Caenorhabditis elegans: one gene and its partners. The protein of the gene in region 1 purifies or fractionates together with the protein of each later gene. This does not show direct contact. Each region holds a gene or a part of one and is shown on either strand. Other genes may lie near its edges.

Region 1 (3,897 bases):
GCCCTTCTGGAACTCCGGTCTCCATATTATTAATATCAAATGGGGTTGTTGGACCAGTGATATCATCTTCTCCATTTGTATCATCTTCTAGTTTAGCATATTCTGCAGGGTCTACTGGAGGCATTGTTGATTGTTCTGGTACGCCGGGCTCCATACCTTCCATGACTGGAAGTTCTGGACCGGATCCAGAACTTCCGGGCTCATCAACAGGCATCGGTAGAATCATTGGACCACCCGAGTTCTCCGGAAAAGTCGATTCGTTCTTTGAAGCTGATCCATCAGTGCCGGAGTTTTCTGTAATTTACTTTGTTCAGTTAGACTCTTAATTAGACTAAAAACGGTCTCAAAAAGTATAATTTCATAATGAGACACCTTTAAAAATTCTACGTTTTTATGGCGATTGAAAGTTTTGCAGAGAAACAAATACTTATTTTCAGTCAAAATCTTCAAAAAAGCTCCGTTTTGTTACTATCAGACTAAACATCATTTATCAAATATGACAAAATTAATCAAGTACATGAAACAGTAGTCAATTAATCACAAAAAAATTAATTTTTGAAATTTTTTTAGAGAATTGGTTTTAACGTTTTCTTAAAATCGTTAAATTACCTTACTAATAGAGGAAAGAGGTTTTCTTAAAAGTTATTTTTCAAAAGCGGTGACACAGACAATTTAGCAAAATTCAAGATTTTAATAGAGGAAAGAGTGGGAAGCGTGGAACCAAAACTTTAATAGATGCCAAACTTAACAATTTACTGAAACAATATTTTGTCCAACTCACCATCTTCCAGTGATCCATGAAGCAACCCCACCAAAATCGATAACAGTATAATATTTAGGTGTCGCATTAAAATTTGTTGAAAAATTGTTAGAAATAATGTACACGACCGCGACCCCATAAGGGATTTACGAGCGGATTATTGGAAGATTTTTGTGAAACTATTAAACCAACTGTGGACAGGTAGTCTTTTTTCATTCGGTTACAATTTGGTTTTTAGCTTTTTTTTAAACAAGAACATTTTGTTCCCGTTTCATGGTTTTTATGTAACGAATGAAGAATTTTGTCTGATGCTATGTTGTTCTCGGAATGGTTGCTTAATTTATATTTTTGATGATTATGTATTTTAAAACTAAGTTAACAAGATTTGTATTCAAAAAGATGTGTTCAAGAAATATAGACCGCTCTTCTCATATAACAGTAGAGTAAAACTCCAATACCTTCTAAAAAGACATTGAAACTTTCAATTTTTAGTTTAAGAATCCGACTGTTTCTTGCTCCTAATATTTTTAGAGGATGTGAAAATATATCTGCTCCACTGTTGAACTACTTTCCAAATAAAATGAAGACGATTTGAAAATGGCTGAACAATTTGAAGCGGTTTTTCATGAAATACATACAGAAAGACAAGTGTACTCATTAATTTCTTAATTTTTATATTTTCATATCCAGCTGTTGAAAGAGTATTTATTTTTCATTCACTAAAATTATTCAAATCACGAATTTTAGTCCATAGTGACTAAAATACAGGGGGGATTACATCCAATACCTCCGTTATGATCCTCTCATTCAAAAGTACAACCAATTCGACAAAAAACTAAAAAACCGGTCATCCCGTCCTGTCATCATAACTATCCTCACTCTTACTCATCCGACCATTTATCCAGTTACTAGTCAGATCTACTAAAAGTTTTGTTCAGAAACTAAAATGATGTCGAAACTCGTACATTTTGTGTTCTTTTTGTCAATTGCTCTTCATGTAATTGCTCGTGCAACTGAATCCTCGGAATCCGATACTATGGAGTCTTCGAGGTCTTCTTCGTCGGAGGAAATGAGATATAATGAGGATTTAGAAGATTTGGTGAAAGTGGATGCTGGTGTGAGTTTTCAAATTTTCTGGAAATACCAACTTGCCAAAGTCACTCTATTTTAGTAGTCAGTTTTTAATTGCCGTGTTTGGAGGAAACTAACTCATCTTATAACAGTTGAACTAATTTCTGAGGAACGTGAAACTGTCCAAATGATTCCGCGCGAAAACAAAAAACCTTCCAAAAATGAAAATTTCCAATTTTCTAGAAATGGCAAATGACATTGCAGGTTCGGAAAATTTTATAATTCTTTTCAATAAGCGGGCTCAATACATTTCAAAATAGTTGAAAGTTATAAAAACACACATAAGCAGTAGATTTTTTCTCAAGCTAAAGTGTAATAAGAGTGGTTAATTTAAAGTAAAGAAAACGTTGTTCAGAACTACTAACAAGTTTGCAATATTCACAATTTACCAACTATTTGAAACTGTAAATTTTCTTAAATAATTAAAATATTATTATGTTTCAAAGTACTGTAAATACATTTTAAAGCAAATCCGTACAAATGCTAAAGTGTTTTCAAATTCAAAACTCTAATTTTCAGAACTCAACAATCGAAGAAGTGAAAGATTCTTCTGAAAATTCCAAAAAATCTGGAGAAATTGAAGTGAAAAAAGCTGACAAGCCAGCTGCAGAGAACGATCTGGAGAAATTTGATAAAGGATTGAATTCTGATAAGAAGGAGTACGTTCAGAAAAGATCCCATGTTGATTCGATTTCAACTAACTCTACGGAAAATGTAAGTTGGAATTAAGTGAGCGCTTTTAGTAAAATCATGGCAATATTTATGCCAAAGACGTTGTGCTTTACAGACACCTTGAACCAGTAGAATTTTTTCAAGTGGTTATATTTAAGTATAATTATTAATGAAAAACTGTTCTGAAATTTGAAAAATAAAATGTTATAAAAATTTATGTGGCTGAAAAACTAGATTGATCGACTAGTAATAAATAAACACCTTGAAAAAAAAAATCAAAAATTCTAGTAAAGACAAAAAACGAAAAACTAATTTCCAATTGCCGAAAACTATAATTACCACACTTTATTTAACCAAAAAATTTGTTCATTGTTCAAAACCTCTTTAAACTATCTATAAAATATTTCGACTGTTTCATATAACTTATTTAAAACTGTCGAAATAATCCCGTTTGGTAACATATATTTCTGATTAAAAAAAAAATGCAAAATGAAGGTTTCCAATAAAATAACTGTTTCACGATTCTTATTAAGCAGTTTTGATGCTTTTTGTTTTCCAGCTATCCGACGATGAAATGGATGTAATGGCTCATCTCAACAAGACAATGGACAGTGAAGAGGATATGCAGAAGAACAATGAAACTGTTCTTGGAATTGATACTTTTGGGGCGCCGGGGATTTAAATTTTGATTTTTTTTTGACTTTTTTATTTGGTTTTAAACTATAAAAAAAAGATGAGAAACATAGTTGAATGGGAAATTTGATTTTTTTTTTAATATTTTGAAAAATAAATATTTCTGTTGCAGTCACTTATTAATAGTTGTGAATCATAAACGTAGGTCAATGTTTGTAATTTCTTGAGAAACCAGCGCCAAAAAAATGAAGGCATAGATTAGCTCTTTTAGTTAATGACCGCAGAATCAAAAGCTAGGGACGTCGAAAGCTAACTGGATATTATTGGGAAAACGGGGTCAACAGACAAACCAGGAACCATCAATCGAAAAATACAAAAAAAAACGTTTTTTGTGCATAAATTAATCAGGAAATACTAAATAGGAGTTTGTCGAATTAAATTTTTGTGAAAACATTTTTTACTCATACATTTTCGCTAACTCAATTAATTCGTATTATTTTTTTGTTCCCCATTTGGACTGTTCGCAAGAGTCCCTGATTCTTTAAATATTTTGTCGCCCAACAAAAAAGTTTTATAAAAATTTAAACTTCAAACTTTCCAACACCAAAACAACCGTGACATCACTGATACTATAATTTGACGAAATTGTTCTCAAAAACTAGTTTTCAATTCTATTCCAGTGTTAAGAACAACACAACAAC
Region 2 (6,870 bases), on another chromosome or scaffold:
GCGGGCAAAGTAGGATATCAATGACCTTGTCAGGAGGAGGCAGCAGTAGTAGTAGAAGATTACAGAATGGTATAGTGGTAGACCACAGTGATTTGTGAAATCAGTATGCTGTATAGTTAAGATACAGTCACTTTATATCTGATAGTTGGTAGCAGACATACAGACTCTTATGACGCATGAAATAATGGGTGGGCCCCTAGAAGGACATTGTACTTTGAAAATTTAATTTCAATTTTATTCGACAATGCAAAGTATCAGGTTTTTGGTTTTTGGAATACCACTTTGCTGACCCTAACAAAAATGAGTGTAGGTGGACACATTATTCAAATCATGAGATCACCGGAAAACATCTTGAAAGTGCAGACACGTGTAAAATGAACAATAGTTTTGAAACTTTTTCTTAGTAATTTGGAATTGAAATTTTCTGAAAAAAAAATTTCGCAAATAATCTAAAAGTGTTGTCAAGCAGATAAATTGTTACGTGAACATTCTTAGTCATGATGATTTGAAACATTAATAGCATAATGCTTTAGTTCTCTCTATGTTTCTCTATCCTTCCCACACATACACAGCTTTTGAACTTTCATTCAATTATCCCATTGTAATAATTTATTAAAATCCCTTTGCACAAACAAAAATGATTATCATTCTGTGAAAAATGTGAAAATATGAATAGCAGGAAAATGACAGAAAAGAAGTAAAAAGAACCACTCAGGAAACATCAGACGGGAAGAAAAGTTAAAAATGAACAAGAAAAAATGTACTCGGACCTCTATTTGTAGGAAGAAAACTGTGATGGAAAATGAAACACCGGAAACTCGAAAAAAGAAAAAAAAACATTGAATCACTCACAAAAAAGCGGAAATTTAAATATTTTGAAATTTGAAAAAGTAACCGTGTTCTGACTCATTATTCCTTTTGCGTTTCATTTTCTTCCTAAAGAGTCTTAATAAATTAATCACCATTGTGGGAAGGAACTGTACAAAAGAGTGGCTGGCTCGTAGTTCAAGAAGGGATTTTGAATTAGTGGGATTGTAGTTGGAAGCATTGTAGGCATCATCAAGGATGACAAATCAATTGGGAGAGGATTTAATGCTTGATTAGGCTGCAAATTAAATACTGTGATTTTCAAAGCATTTGATAACTGATTATTTATTACCACTGCCTGAGTTCTTCCCCAGGAACATCTGACTTGATTTCCAGCCATCTCCTTTCCATTCATCTCCATTATTGCTTTTGTGGCACACTCTTTTTTCTCATATCTGACGAACGCGTACCTTTGGGTTTTGAAAATACGCACTTCCGCTATATCACCATATGTTGAGAATAAATCGCGGAGATCAGCGTCTATAAAAATATGTACATAGATATAACATATGGCAGTGATAGGATAAAAGGCAGAAAGTCATTTATCAAATTTCATGGGACGTTCTCACTGTCTACCAGGCGGAAGTGTCAAGCAGTAGGATGTGATGAGGAAAAATGATGATAGCCTCATATCCGTTAGAAAGTTTGTTAATGAGATAAAGACATGGAACTGGTTTACTCTGTTAATAAACTATGGGAAAGTTACCGAATAAGGCCATTCGAGAAATTGAAATGATCTTTTAATGGTTTTATGTTTTGTCAACAACTACAGTGTCTTAATTTGATTGTAAACATTAAAAAATGCCTGCAAAAATACCATTTTAACCAGTACAAGTAAAATGTATCAGATAGAGCATTAACTTTTTAAAACTATTGCTATTAATTTGTTCAAAGATGTATCATAGATGTGCATTGCGAAATTAGCAAAATTAAAATTACAACGCCTGTCAACTTACTTCTTAAAAATCAGTTTGTATTATCCAAATGCTCAATAACACTAGTTTACTTTAAAAAATTAAATTTCACGGAAAACCTATATCAAAAATATTAGTATGATTTGGAAAAATTCTAAAAAAAATAAACGTTTCAATTAAGTTTCCAATATTATTTGTCAAATAAAATTTATAACAATTATAAACTTCGATGTTTCACTGCGGAGTAGAGCCAATGGGGAAATTGCTTTGAAACATGCATATGGAACCACAATGACGAAATATTTCAGTAAAAGTATTTTTTTTAATTTGTAAAATTACTTTTTTCGTTTGATTGCGTAGTTTTCTATAAAAGTGCGTAGTTTTCTATAAAAGTGACTTAAAGCGATCGCGAACTGCCAATAAAAAATTTTCAAAACAATTTTTGGAAAGTTTTACTATTTTTTTGGCCATAATATTTGGCCATTTAGTCCCCATGGAACTGGTTTTTAGCAATTTACCCACTAGCGCTACTACAACTTTCACCATTGGTTACCGGAGCAGTATACGGTCTCTCTATTAATGCAAATTTCCCAATTCTTTAAATTTCAGAAGAAACTATAGATGTAATTCTAAAGATTGTTTTCTTTATTTCAAAAACTTAAACTCTATTTATTTCCTTTTTAATGACTGATATGAAGTACACTGTCTACCTATAACTAACCTGTAGTCTGTTGACTTATGTTCCCAACATAAACTGACGTGTTATCGGCTTTCGTTGAGTTGAACACCTGGAGCTGTCATGTTTTATTGAGATTTAACGTTACAACATCTCACCTGTTCAAAAGTCAGCTTGTCGCGATTCTCCTCGCTGTTTTTTCGTGCCGCCCAGTTGGTCCGCACAGCTCGTTTCCCAATCCATTTTCCGTTCATTCCGGCTATCGCGTTCTCTGCATTCTAAAAACAAGGCTCAGTTTTCTCGACGAAAATAAATAGGACCAATGGGCTTCGTAAAAAAAACAGAGAGAAACTAACTTGTTTGTTGGGAAATGACACAAATCCGTATCCTTTTGATTTCTGAGTCTGAACATCTCGAATCACTTTAGCTTCACTGAAAAAAATACTTCCGCGGTATAAATGTCAAGATTGGGTAAAAAATCTAACAATGGTTGGAGAATATTGCTTTCAGTTTTGCTCAATATTTTGTCATAAAATTTATTAAATTTCGGTTTGGGAATGATGATATTTTTTTGCCAAGTACGGTTTCGATATACTCTTTTAAAAATTTTTATGGAAAATTGCTAGTTACTCAAAAAAATAAGTTATGTAAGTTTTTTTAAATCCAAATGACGAGGGTGTTGTTTGTTTTTTGATTCGAACTCTTTTGTATAGTGTTAACGTGTTCAAGCAAAATTAAGTATTTTATCCTCAAATTTACCTGACTTCTCCGAATTTTGTAAACGTTGATTTTAAAAGCTCATTGCTCACGTCCTTGCTCAAATCCCCGACAAAAACATGAAAATGCTCTGAAAAGAAGCAAAGAAATGATATTGCATTGCTAATCTTCTTCTTTTTTAGTGCTGGCACGCATGGTTTCATTTCATCTCATCTTGGTCGTCAGTTTCATATTTTCCAATTCTTGACCACGGAACATAAAAAACGATAAAAAACGTGTGACTTTCAAGAAAAACGGTTAGCAGCTATGAGGCTAAACAACCTCGAATTGTCTGATAAGGGTGATAAGAACAACCAAAGAATACAATAACACCCAGAACGGTTTTGAAAAAAAAAAGTGAATCCGTCTGTGTGATTGATAAGGTCAATCAAATGACTTATCTTTATCTTCTTTTTTTGGTCTCATATTTTTTCACAGCTATTTTGACTTATGACCTGACACCAATACGGCGCCAGAAAAGTAATTGAAAAATAAAGATTGATAGGATCTTTGATTCAAACAAATTCATTTTTCACACTTTTCATCCAAATCTGCAAATCTACACTCACTGCTTGTATCAATTCGCATCTCCATCGGCGGCTCCGAGGCTGAGTGCAACACGGCTGATTCCTGCAACACAATTGCATTTGCCAAATGAGAATCCGTACTAGTTGAATGTATTTCGATCGGACAAAAAGATTGGCGCGAGAGGAAAGGGTAACTAAAGGGGGAAAGAAGGGTGCGAAATAAGCGGAAATGGGCAAATGAACAAACCAAAGAGTGTGGAAGACCGATGTGTGACAAAGAAGGAAGGCTGGCGGTCTGGAGAAGCAGAGGACATGTGTCCAAGGATTGAATCGACTGTGTCTGAACACAGGTATATGAATTATTGAGTTGCACAATATCCGATCAACCTACGTCTAATAAACCTGCCGGGAACTGCGAGTATAGGTTTTTCATAGGCATTTGTTGAGAGTAAAGCAAGGATGTCTGAGGAGTCGCAGTTGGTAAGCACATGAGTGCTTTCTGCAAGGACTGTTTTAAACATTTCTGTGTTTTGACAAAGTTCAATTTTTCAGAAAGAATCAATATGAAAGACTAATCTAGAAAGAATAATCTCAAAATTGCACGTGATTGCTTCTAAAAAATCGTTCGAAACATATCAGTTAACCTGTGAATTCAGACAATATGTAATAAAACTTAGTTTTGGGAAGCTTGTTTTAACTAAAAGTGTTGTTTTTTCTCTGCTTAACATTTGGAAAAGCAACAACTTAAATATTTCTGACAACTTGAGAAAATCAATTGTTGAACATACTTAACAACGTTCACGTCACTATTTCTACAGAAACCAGATGCATTATCCATTTGTATTTATTTAGAATTGTAAACCACCTTTCTTTTTTATGATTGATCAGATTGTGTTCCTTTTCTTTGCCAGGAAAATTACTGACGGGAATGTGGCAATTAAAAAATCTATTGCAAATTTGCATTACCTATTATGAGCAAAAAAAGGGAATAACAATTACATGGCTTATTACAAGCACATGCTAATGTTCTTGTACTGCCCTCGGTTTTAGTACCAACGAATTGCTTTCAATTTCTAAAAAGTCACCTACCTTCGCCTGCTGAGCCGAACCATATTCGGCTTCGTGTACGGAGATGAGGTCCTGTGATCGTTTCAGCTTGAATTGTGTACTAACACCACTGTGGTGTTCCAGGACTTGTTTAAATGTGAGAAGAATGCAAATGTTCCTGGAAAAACGCTGTGAATCGGATTAGCATTCCCATTGAAAAATAAGAGCAAAAACAGAGCCAAGAGATTTGTTTTCAAATCCCTCGCGAAACTAACAAGGTAACTAAACTGTGATAATGGATTATCGATAAATGGAAAAATGTGGCAAGGAATATAACCGGAAAATGAGTCAAAAAATAAAAAAGTAGAAGGAGGAAGAAGGTGCAATATTCATTTTTCATGGCCGAGCATCTTCTTGTAGCAGAGTGATGTGCTCCGCCTTGTCCCAAGGGGAATTGGGTGGAGAACTAATTAAGAAAGTCGAAAACAATAGAATATATTGAGGTGTAGACTATGTCGGAAACAAGAAAAATGCGAATAAGAGGATGGAAAGGAAGGGAAGGAAAAAATGTGCAACAAACTTGGGAGCTAAGACCGGACTCCACATTTAACCCATCCAGTGTTGTTTCTCACGATGGGCTCAAGAGCGGAACGTCGTTTCATTCTTGTGATTTTACCATCCATTCCCACCAGATTTGAGATTTACCGAGTGCCCACCCCTTGTGACCTCCTTTTATTCTTCTCATCTAGCTTGAGCACCTTTCCTTTCCTTTGACTTTTTTATACGTTGTCATTCTTCATGTAAGAGAGCTCAGGATTCTTCCATTTTCATTTTCCTATTCATCTAGTAGTAGTCCATTAGTCTCACTCGAAAAATGAGCAACGAATGCACTAGAGGGTTCGTGTGGCTGAATAGCGGTAATACGCAAAATGGAATAAACAAATGATATTTGAGAGAGGCATGGGCCCCATAAAAAAAGGCGGAAAATGTCTTCAACTGTGAGAATAGGGTCTCGCACCAAATCGAGACACCTAAATTCATAGATTCATGCATCTGAAAGAGCTTTTAGCAGAAGGCAAAAAAAATAGACAACGGTGGACACGAACAAAGAATGTTTTAATGCTTGTGAATAGGGAGGAATAGACAGTGTGCACGGAGTCAGCCGAGAGGAAATAAAAATGTTCCTTTTTTGAACAATAACAATCAGATTCGTATTGGAAAGGAAGACGAACAACAAATCGATACAACCACCAGTTTATTAGGTGAAGAACATTACAAATAGGAGAAAAAGAGTTTCACAGTGACAGACGTGAAGACCGTAATTTTTCGAATCGCTTAAGCTTAATAGTAGTTAAAAGCAGGTAGCTAAAAATGTTAGTCCATTGACTTTTTCAAAGATAAAAACTTTAGCGCAAATGAAGCACGTTTCTTGTTAATGTGTTTTCAGGATTAAAATGTTAAACAAGAATATCAACTTCAAAATCGATTTGTAATCAATAAAGTTTACAATTATAATATTTTATTCTTATATCAAAACTTCAGGAAATGATACTTCAAGATTGAAAATCCGCCTTGATGGCGTATTCCAAAAAGGGAATAGATTTTTGGGAAACGAGCGGCATTTTTGTCACGAAGATCAATGATTAAAAACAATAAGATGACTCAATCTGTAAACGACCAACATTTTCTGATTTGTATAAATTACATACAAACAAAAAAATTAATTATTAAAATTACTTGAATCAAATGTATCCTTAAATGGTTGAACATTCTGAAGCAGTATGTATTTGTGTACTATATCCTTAAATTTTGAAAAAAAAGTATGTTTCCATTTATACGTTAATTAAGCATTATTTGGAAACAAATCTTTTCAAAAAATTAAACTTCTAATTTAAAGAAGTCTTATCAATTTGAAAAAAAGGGTAAAACCAAATAGCAGAATGAGCAAGAGCAAACTGACCAGTTTACACCTTCAAATGTTTATTTTATTCAATCGCAAATATCAATCTGTATACCATGCAATGTGTTGATATAAACTATGGAAAAGTGTAAAAAAGGGAGAAGGCATGGCTCTTGATTAGTC
Region 3 (5,251 bases), on another chromosome or scaffold:
TCGCAGTAGTTTAAGTTGGAAAACTCGGGAAAATTTTGATCATTTTGAATGAAAACTGATTGAGCCATGGTCATTTGAGATAATATTATTTCTGGGTCTTTTCTATCCGTGTATTCGGGCCTGCGGCCCTCAACCTGGATTATTGGGCTCAGAGTAGGCTTAAAGATTGTCCAATACTTCTATGTGTATTTGGGCCTGCAGCCCTCAATCCGAATTAACTGATCTTTTCAAATACAGACGTAGTCTCATAAAAGTCCTCCAGCCTGCTCTGCTGGAAGTAGGGATAGAAAAAGCCTAAAGTTTCTAAGAGTAAGCAGGCAGCCCTTATCCCTGATTTTTGGATTTGAGTGAAATGAAATAGCATTTGGCCTGTCCTGCTGAGGTTAAAAGTGGCCATAATGTTCAAAAAGTGCGGTCCTCAATATGATTGGAGCTATTGAAACAAATTGCTCAAAAAAAAACGCCAATCCTAAGCTAAGATATAAGTTCTCAAAGTGCAGTCACATTTCTCGGGACACCTCATGTCGAAAACGTGCCCTTATTTTTTATTTCTGTCAAGTGTGCAATTTACGGATTTAATATAGGAACACTTGAAAGCCCGGAAATGTCGGCTGCGGTTCTTGGTTGATTTTTTGTTAATACAAGCTTGAAAAATCTTGTGAGATGTCTTCTACTGTTTCGACATTTTGAAAGGAACCGGGAAAGTGTCGGCTGCAAACAAAGTTGATATTAAAGTCAGCATCCGACATCTCAATGGATGTGGCCAATTTTGAAATGGAAGCCTGTGCTAATGCACCATGATAAACCCGAATAAAAGGGCACTGAAGATCAATTTTCATTCTTTTTTTCGCATTTTTGGCGACCCAATATCTACCAATTTTCCAGCGTAAAGTTAATTTTCTGCCTGTTTTTTTTTTGCAAACACGGCAAATGTTGTAAACAACATATTAGTATCAAGGTCAGATTTGGTCCAAACCAGCATGATTCTTGCCCCCCTCTACCCTAAAATAGTTTGTCAAATAGAAGCCTCAATTGATTTTTCACATGAAAATTTTTCAAATACCAACTTAAAAATATCATAACTCAGCTGAAAGTTGAGCTAGCAAAAAGTTTTCCACCAACAAAATGTTTGAAAATTAATTTGAAATATTTTTGTAGTTGACAACTTTTCAATAGCTCAATTTTCAGCGGAGTTATGAGCTTTTGAACTAATTTTTCACAAAAAAAATCTATAGAATCTCTTTTATTCTAATTCTCCATTCACATCAAGTAGTCCGGGTACGTGTAGGCTCTCTATAGAGGACCGATGCTCAAGGTCAACAGAGATAAACATTCCCGCCCCGTCTGCGACAGATGGACAGAGGTCACCTAGTTATTTAGGGTAGTCTAATGGTCCCTATTGCCTCTCCAACGGGGGTATGTAATAGGGGGAAGACGGACAATTATTGGGTATTTTCCACAAGTTTTGAACTATTTTTTGGCTGTTTTGTCCGATTTCTGACAATTTTTGGACTATTTCTAGCTATTTTTCGACTATTTTTTTATATTTTCGTTGAAATTTTGCTATTTTTGGCTACACTCTGGCAATATTTTACTACTTTCGAATGCAGCTTTACTACTTTTTGGAAATTTGTTTACTAGATCATAGTCATTTTTTGTCAGTTTTTCACAATTTTCTCGTTTCTTTCAACGTTTTTCTCACTTTTCGCACCAATTTCCCACTTTTTTACAGGTAATAAATACCTACATATGAGCTTAACACCACTCCCATATGAGTGCCAGAAATGTGTACTACAGTTCTTTGAAGCTAATAGGAGGTATGCTTTTATTTTTTTTTGGAATTCTGATTGTAGAGCTGAAAAAAGTTTTTGAAAAGCTATTAAAGTTTAAAAAGAGTTTGGAATATATTTTAGTAGGTTACTTTTTCAGAGCAAAAGTTGATAAATTTACAGTCGATGCATCATGTTTTCCTCAACTTTAACAGCTCAAAATTCAATTTTCTTTGTGTAAAAATTTATTAAAACGGGCTTCGGTAGAAGTATAATAACTTAAGCAATTTTCTGTCGATGAACCATGTTTTGCTCAAATTTTGAGCCGTTCCTAGAAGTGGGGCAGCTACCAATATTATTTTTACTTTTAAACACCTATCAACCTACTTAAAATATTCCAGATTTAAATTAGTGGAACGATGTGACTCCCTAAAAGCAGCCGACAAAGCTGCTCCCCTCCACATCTACAAGCTCTACATGAATCCCCGTGTCATCCGAATCAACCGACATAGGTACACGTTAGGACTGCTCCGCCACCTACCGAAAGACCATGTCTACTATAGTCCATATATCAACAATGTGAACTTAGATGGAGGTGCTGCCTATGATATGGATCAGTATGGGCTTAAGGATCCCCGCTGCAATGAGGTTTTGAGCCCTGGAGATTTGAAAGTTGAAAGCAAGGAAAAAATTAATAATATGGAGGATATGACAATGGAGATGTTGCAATTTGCAATGCGGGATTTTATAAGACCACAGGGGCGGATGCAGGTGCAGCAGAGGGAAGGTAGGTGATAAGGAGTCCAGTGATATGTCGGCTGCTGTTTAAGAAAATTTAGAGCACTATCTCAGTTGACAAATTTGTGATAGCTTGATTTCTAGCTGAAATATGATAGCTTAAAGTGTTTCGGCGGCCAATTTTTGTTTCGGAAAATCTCAAAAATATATTTTTCAGACCCTGAAAGCTCTTCCGAAGATGATGAGGATGAAGCAGAAGATCTTCCAGCAGAAGGATCAGATGATGAAGACGATGACCCCCAGGAAGCTCAGATCCGGCGTATCCTCGGCGACGCTTACCTCCCAAGAGCACGCTATTCATCTTCAGAATCCGAAGCATCTGAATCCGAAGACGAGCCAGACATAGATCCAGCAGTCACCGACCAACTCGAAGCATACACGAATCCATACAGCTGGCGAGAGGAAAATGAACCAGCTCCATACAGATTTGGCATCAGATTCCAAAGGATGAACTTAGACTTCAGGCGGGACAGGGAGACTTTCCATGGGATCATTGAGTATCTGGATTATAACAAGAAAATGTATGATGCGATGAAGTATATCACAGAGAAGTTGTTCGGAAAAAGAGCTCACCCAATTGTGATAAAGACCCTGGAGCTTGGTGATGCAGGTGGGGTCTACCGACTCCCCGAGAATTTTAAAGTGAAAGTTTCCAATATGAGATTTGGTACGGAGTTCGGACTGCTTTGGGATGGTCTGAACAGTATTTTCCACGAGAGCACTCTGCCTTTCAAGAGCTTGCATATGCCTCTAGAGCACGACCACCCAGTTATCCATGCCACCCAGCGTCTGGTTATCGGAACTGAGAAAATGTTTGGGGAGAACTTTGCCTGGATCCCTTTCCTACTGAAGCTTCCACAGAAGAATGTCTACATGCTTCATAGTCCACTGTTCCATCATGACTATGTGCAGCTGATTGATAATTGGATCGAGACACCGAAGAGTATTGGGACCTGCTTTACGTTTGGTGTTAAGCAGTATCACGCCACCCAATCCACATTGAACTTGCTCGGGGATCATCCGATGGTTGTGAGCAAGAGGATGGAGGGAGTAGAGTAAGTTCGCAAAATTCAGGATGCATCGATGCACCAGCTGGAAATTTGGAGCTCCGATGCACCATGTTTTTAGGGAAAAGTCGACAAAAAATCTTCATTTAGTTTTTATTTGAACATTGCACTGATATGTAATACATCGAAATTTGAGTTTGAGGCTCTTTAAATAGATACAAACTACCTCACTTGTGCTTTTTCGAACTTTTCAAAAGCCCGTGAAGTGTCGGCCGCTGTAACTTTTCTCCTGGTAGAGCTAGTGGAAAGTTGTCAACTACAAGATTGTAGATGCTATTATTTGCAACGGTTTTGCAGTTGAGCAATTTTATGAAAGTAGTTGGGTTTTTGAGTTATGCTCTTTCGAAATTAGTTGTTTTTTTTTTGCAAAATTATCCAAAAACTAAAACTCAAATTTCTAACAACTTTTACAAAAACTTTCGTGTTGCAAATGCGTTGCAAAAATTCTGACTTACAATTTCAAATTTTTCTGTGGCAGAACCTGTTCTGCGGCGCGCAGGTTCGATTTTATGCAAAAATTTTTTTTTGAAGTTTAGCATTACACCTCAACTATGGAGGCTTATATCTTGATGGAAAATTGTTTACTGGCAAAATAATAAATATTACTTTCACTATAATTTTTTATTAAATATTCTAAAATTATCTAATGTACATACTAGTTTATAAACTTCCAAAGTTGGACTCTTCCCAAATTTTCCTTTTTTTCCAGCTGCACCGAATTCCCTCACTGCTTCAACATCCCGCTGACCTATGAATCCGAGCTTAATGTCTACGGTAAGAAGAGAACTGAAAACTTGGACCCTTTGGAGTTTATGCCACATGTCAGTTGGTGCCTGGTCTTCGAAGTGATGCCAATTGGAAGCGCTTTACCATTGGAGGACTGATTTTTCAATTTGCTAATTTTTTTTTTCAATTATGTCTTGTTGTCGTGTTTTTGATAATCTGAAATTTGTTGCGTGGATTTTAATAAAATGTTTTTTTGGTACTAAAAATGTTCCTAAATTTTTCTATATTTTGCTAGTTACCGGCTCAACGAAGGTGGTATATTTTAAAATCTGAATATCTGTAAATCTACAAAAGTTAGCAAAAGATTGTCAATTAACAAAATAATCTACGCAAATTGTTCTATAAGTTGTTAATTTACAAATTTTTTGTAGCTCAACTTTGAGCATAGTTATGATAGCTCTAAGTAGGGACAGGTTACCTGATTTTTATCAATTTTAAAACTTAAATATCTCCAAAAGCATCAAAGCTAATAAAAAATGTTGGGTATCTACGTGTACCTTACCCTTAACGTGGATATGAAGATCGTGTAACGTGAACTCATTATCTATGTATACTAACTTTCTATTTATTCCTTAGTTATGTAATAATAAACTACTCGTCTTCGCCTCCTTGTTCGGCCTCGAATATATAACATTGGCGATCAGGATCTTTCGGGCTCACTGCACCACTGACTTCATGCACATGTCTACTTAGAAGAAAAGACCTCTGAGGTATTGTTTTGATCTACACATGTCTACTGGGAAGAAAAGACCTCTGAGGTGGATCAGGTCAGCTTTGGGAAGAGGCACCTGCCGTGCTCTCTGCAGTTGCAGTCAAGGTGGACAGGAGCGG

What was found.
Region 2: the proteins of R05A10.2 (region 1) and rnp-9 fractionate together in Caenorhabditis elegans (co-fractionation; one large-scale study listed by BioGRID). This does not show direct contact.
Region 3: the proteins of R05A10.2 (region 1) and fbxc-51 fractionate together in Caenorhabditis elegans (co-fractionation; one large-scale study listed by BioGRID). This does not show direct contact.

Annotation. Positions count from the first base shown.
Region 1 is NC_003282.8:14,175,575-14,179,471, forward strand, and holds R05A10.2 (Secreted phosphoprotein 1), read left to right. Parts: upstream 1-1,696; 5' UTR 1,697-1,709; coding exon 1,710-1,877; intron 1,878-1,943; exon of another isoform or gene 1,944-1,968; intron 1,969-2,013; exon of another isoform or gene 2,014-2,034; intron 2,035-2,114; exon of another isoform or gene 2,115-2,135; intron 2,136-2,227; exon of another isoform or gene 2,228-2,251; intron 2,252-2,410; coding exon 2,411-2,605; intron 2,606-2,626; exon of another isoform or gene 2,627-2,647; intron 2,648-2,930; exon of another isoform or gene 2,931-2,952; intron 2,953-3,018; exon of another isoform or gene 3,019-3,039; intron 3,040-3,122; coding exon 3,123-3,245; 3' UTR 3,246-3,366; downstream 3,367-3,897. Other genes in the region: R05A10.3 (DUF148 domain-containing protein), read right to left, coding at 1-294, 782-899.
Region 2 is NC_003284.9:10,165,413-10,172,282, reverse strand, and holds rnp-9 (RRM domain-containing protein), read right to left. Parts: upstream 4,979-6,870; 5' UTR 4,830-4,978; intron 4,240-4,829; 5' UTR 4,231-4,239; coding exon 4,132-4,230; intron 4,081-4,131; coding exon 3,988-4,080; intron 3,844-3,987; coding exon 3,783-3,843; intron 3,305-3,782; coding exon 3,217-3,304; intron 2,890-3,216; coding exon 2,814-2,889; intron 2,736-2,813; coding exon 2,616-2,735; intron 2,570-2,615; coding exon 2,503-2,569; intron 1,348-2,502; coding exon 1,160-1,347; intron 1,106-1,159; coding exon 959-1,105; 3' UTR 590-958; downstream 1-589.
Region 3 is NC_003280.10:867,082-872,332, forward strand, and holds fbxc-51 (F-box C protein), read left to right. Parts: upstream 1-1,732; 5' UTR 1,733-1,749; coding exon 1,750-1,817; intron 1,818-2,170; coding exon 2,171-2,556; intron 2,557-2,724; coding exon 2,725-3,622; intron 3,623-4,343; coding exon 4,344-4,518; 3' UTR 4,519-4,618; downstream 4,619-5,251.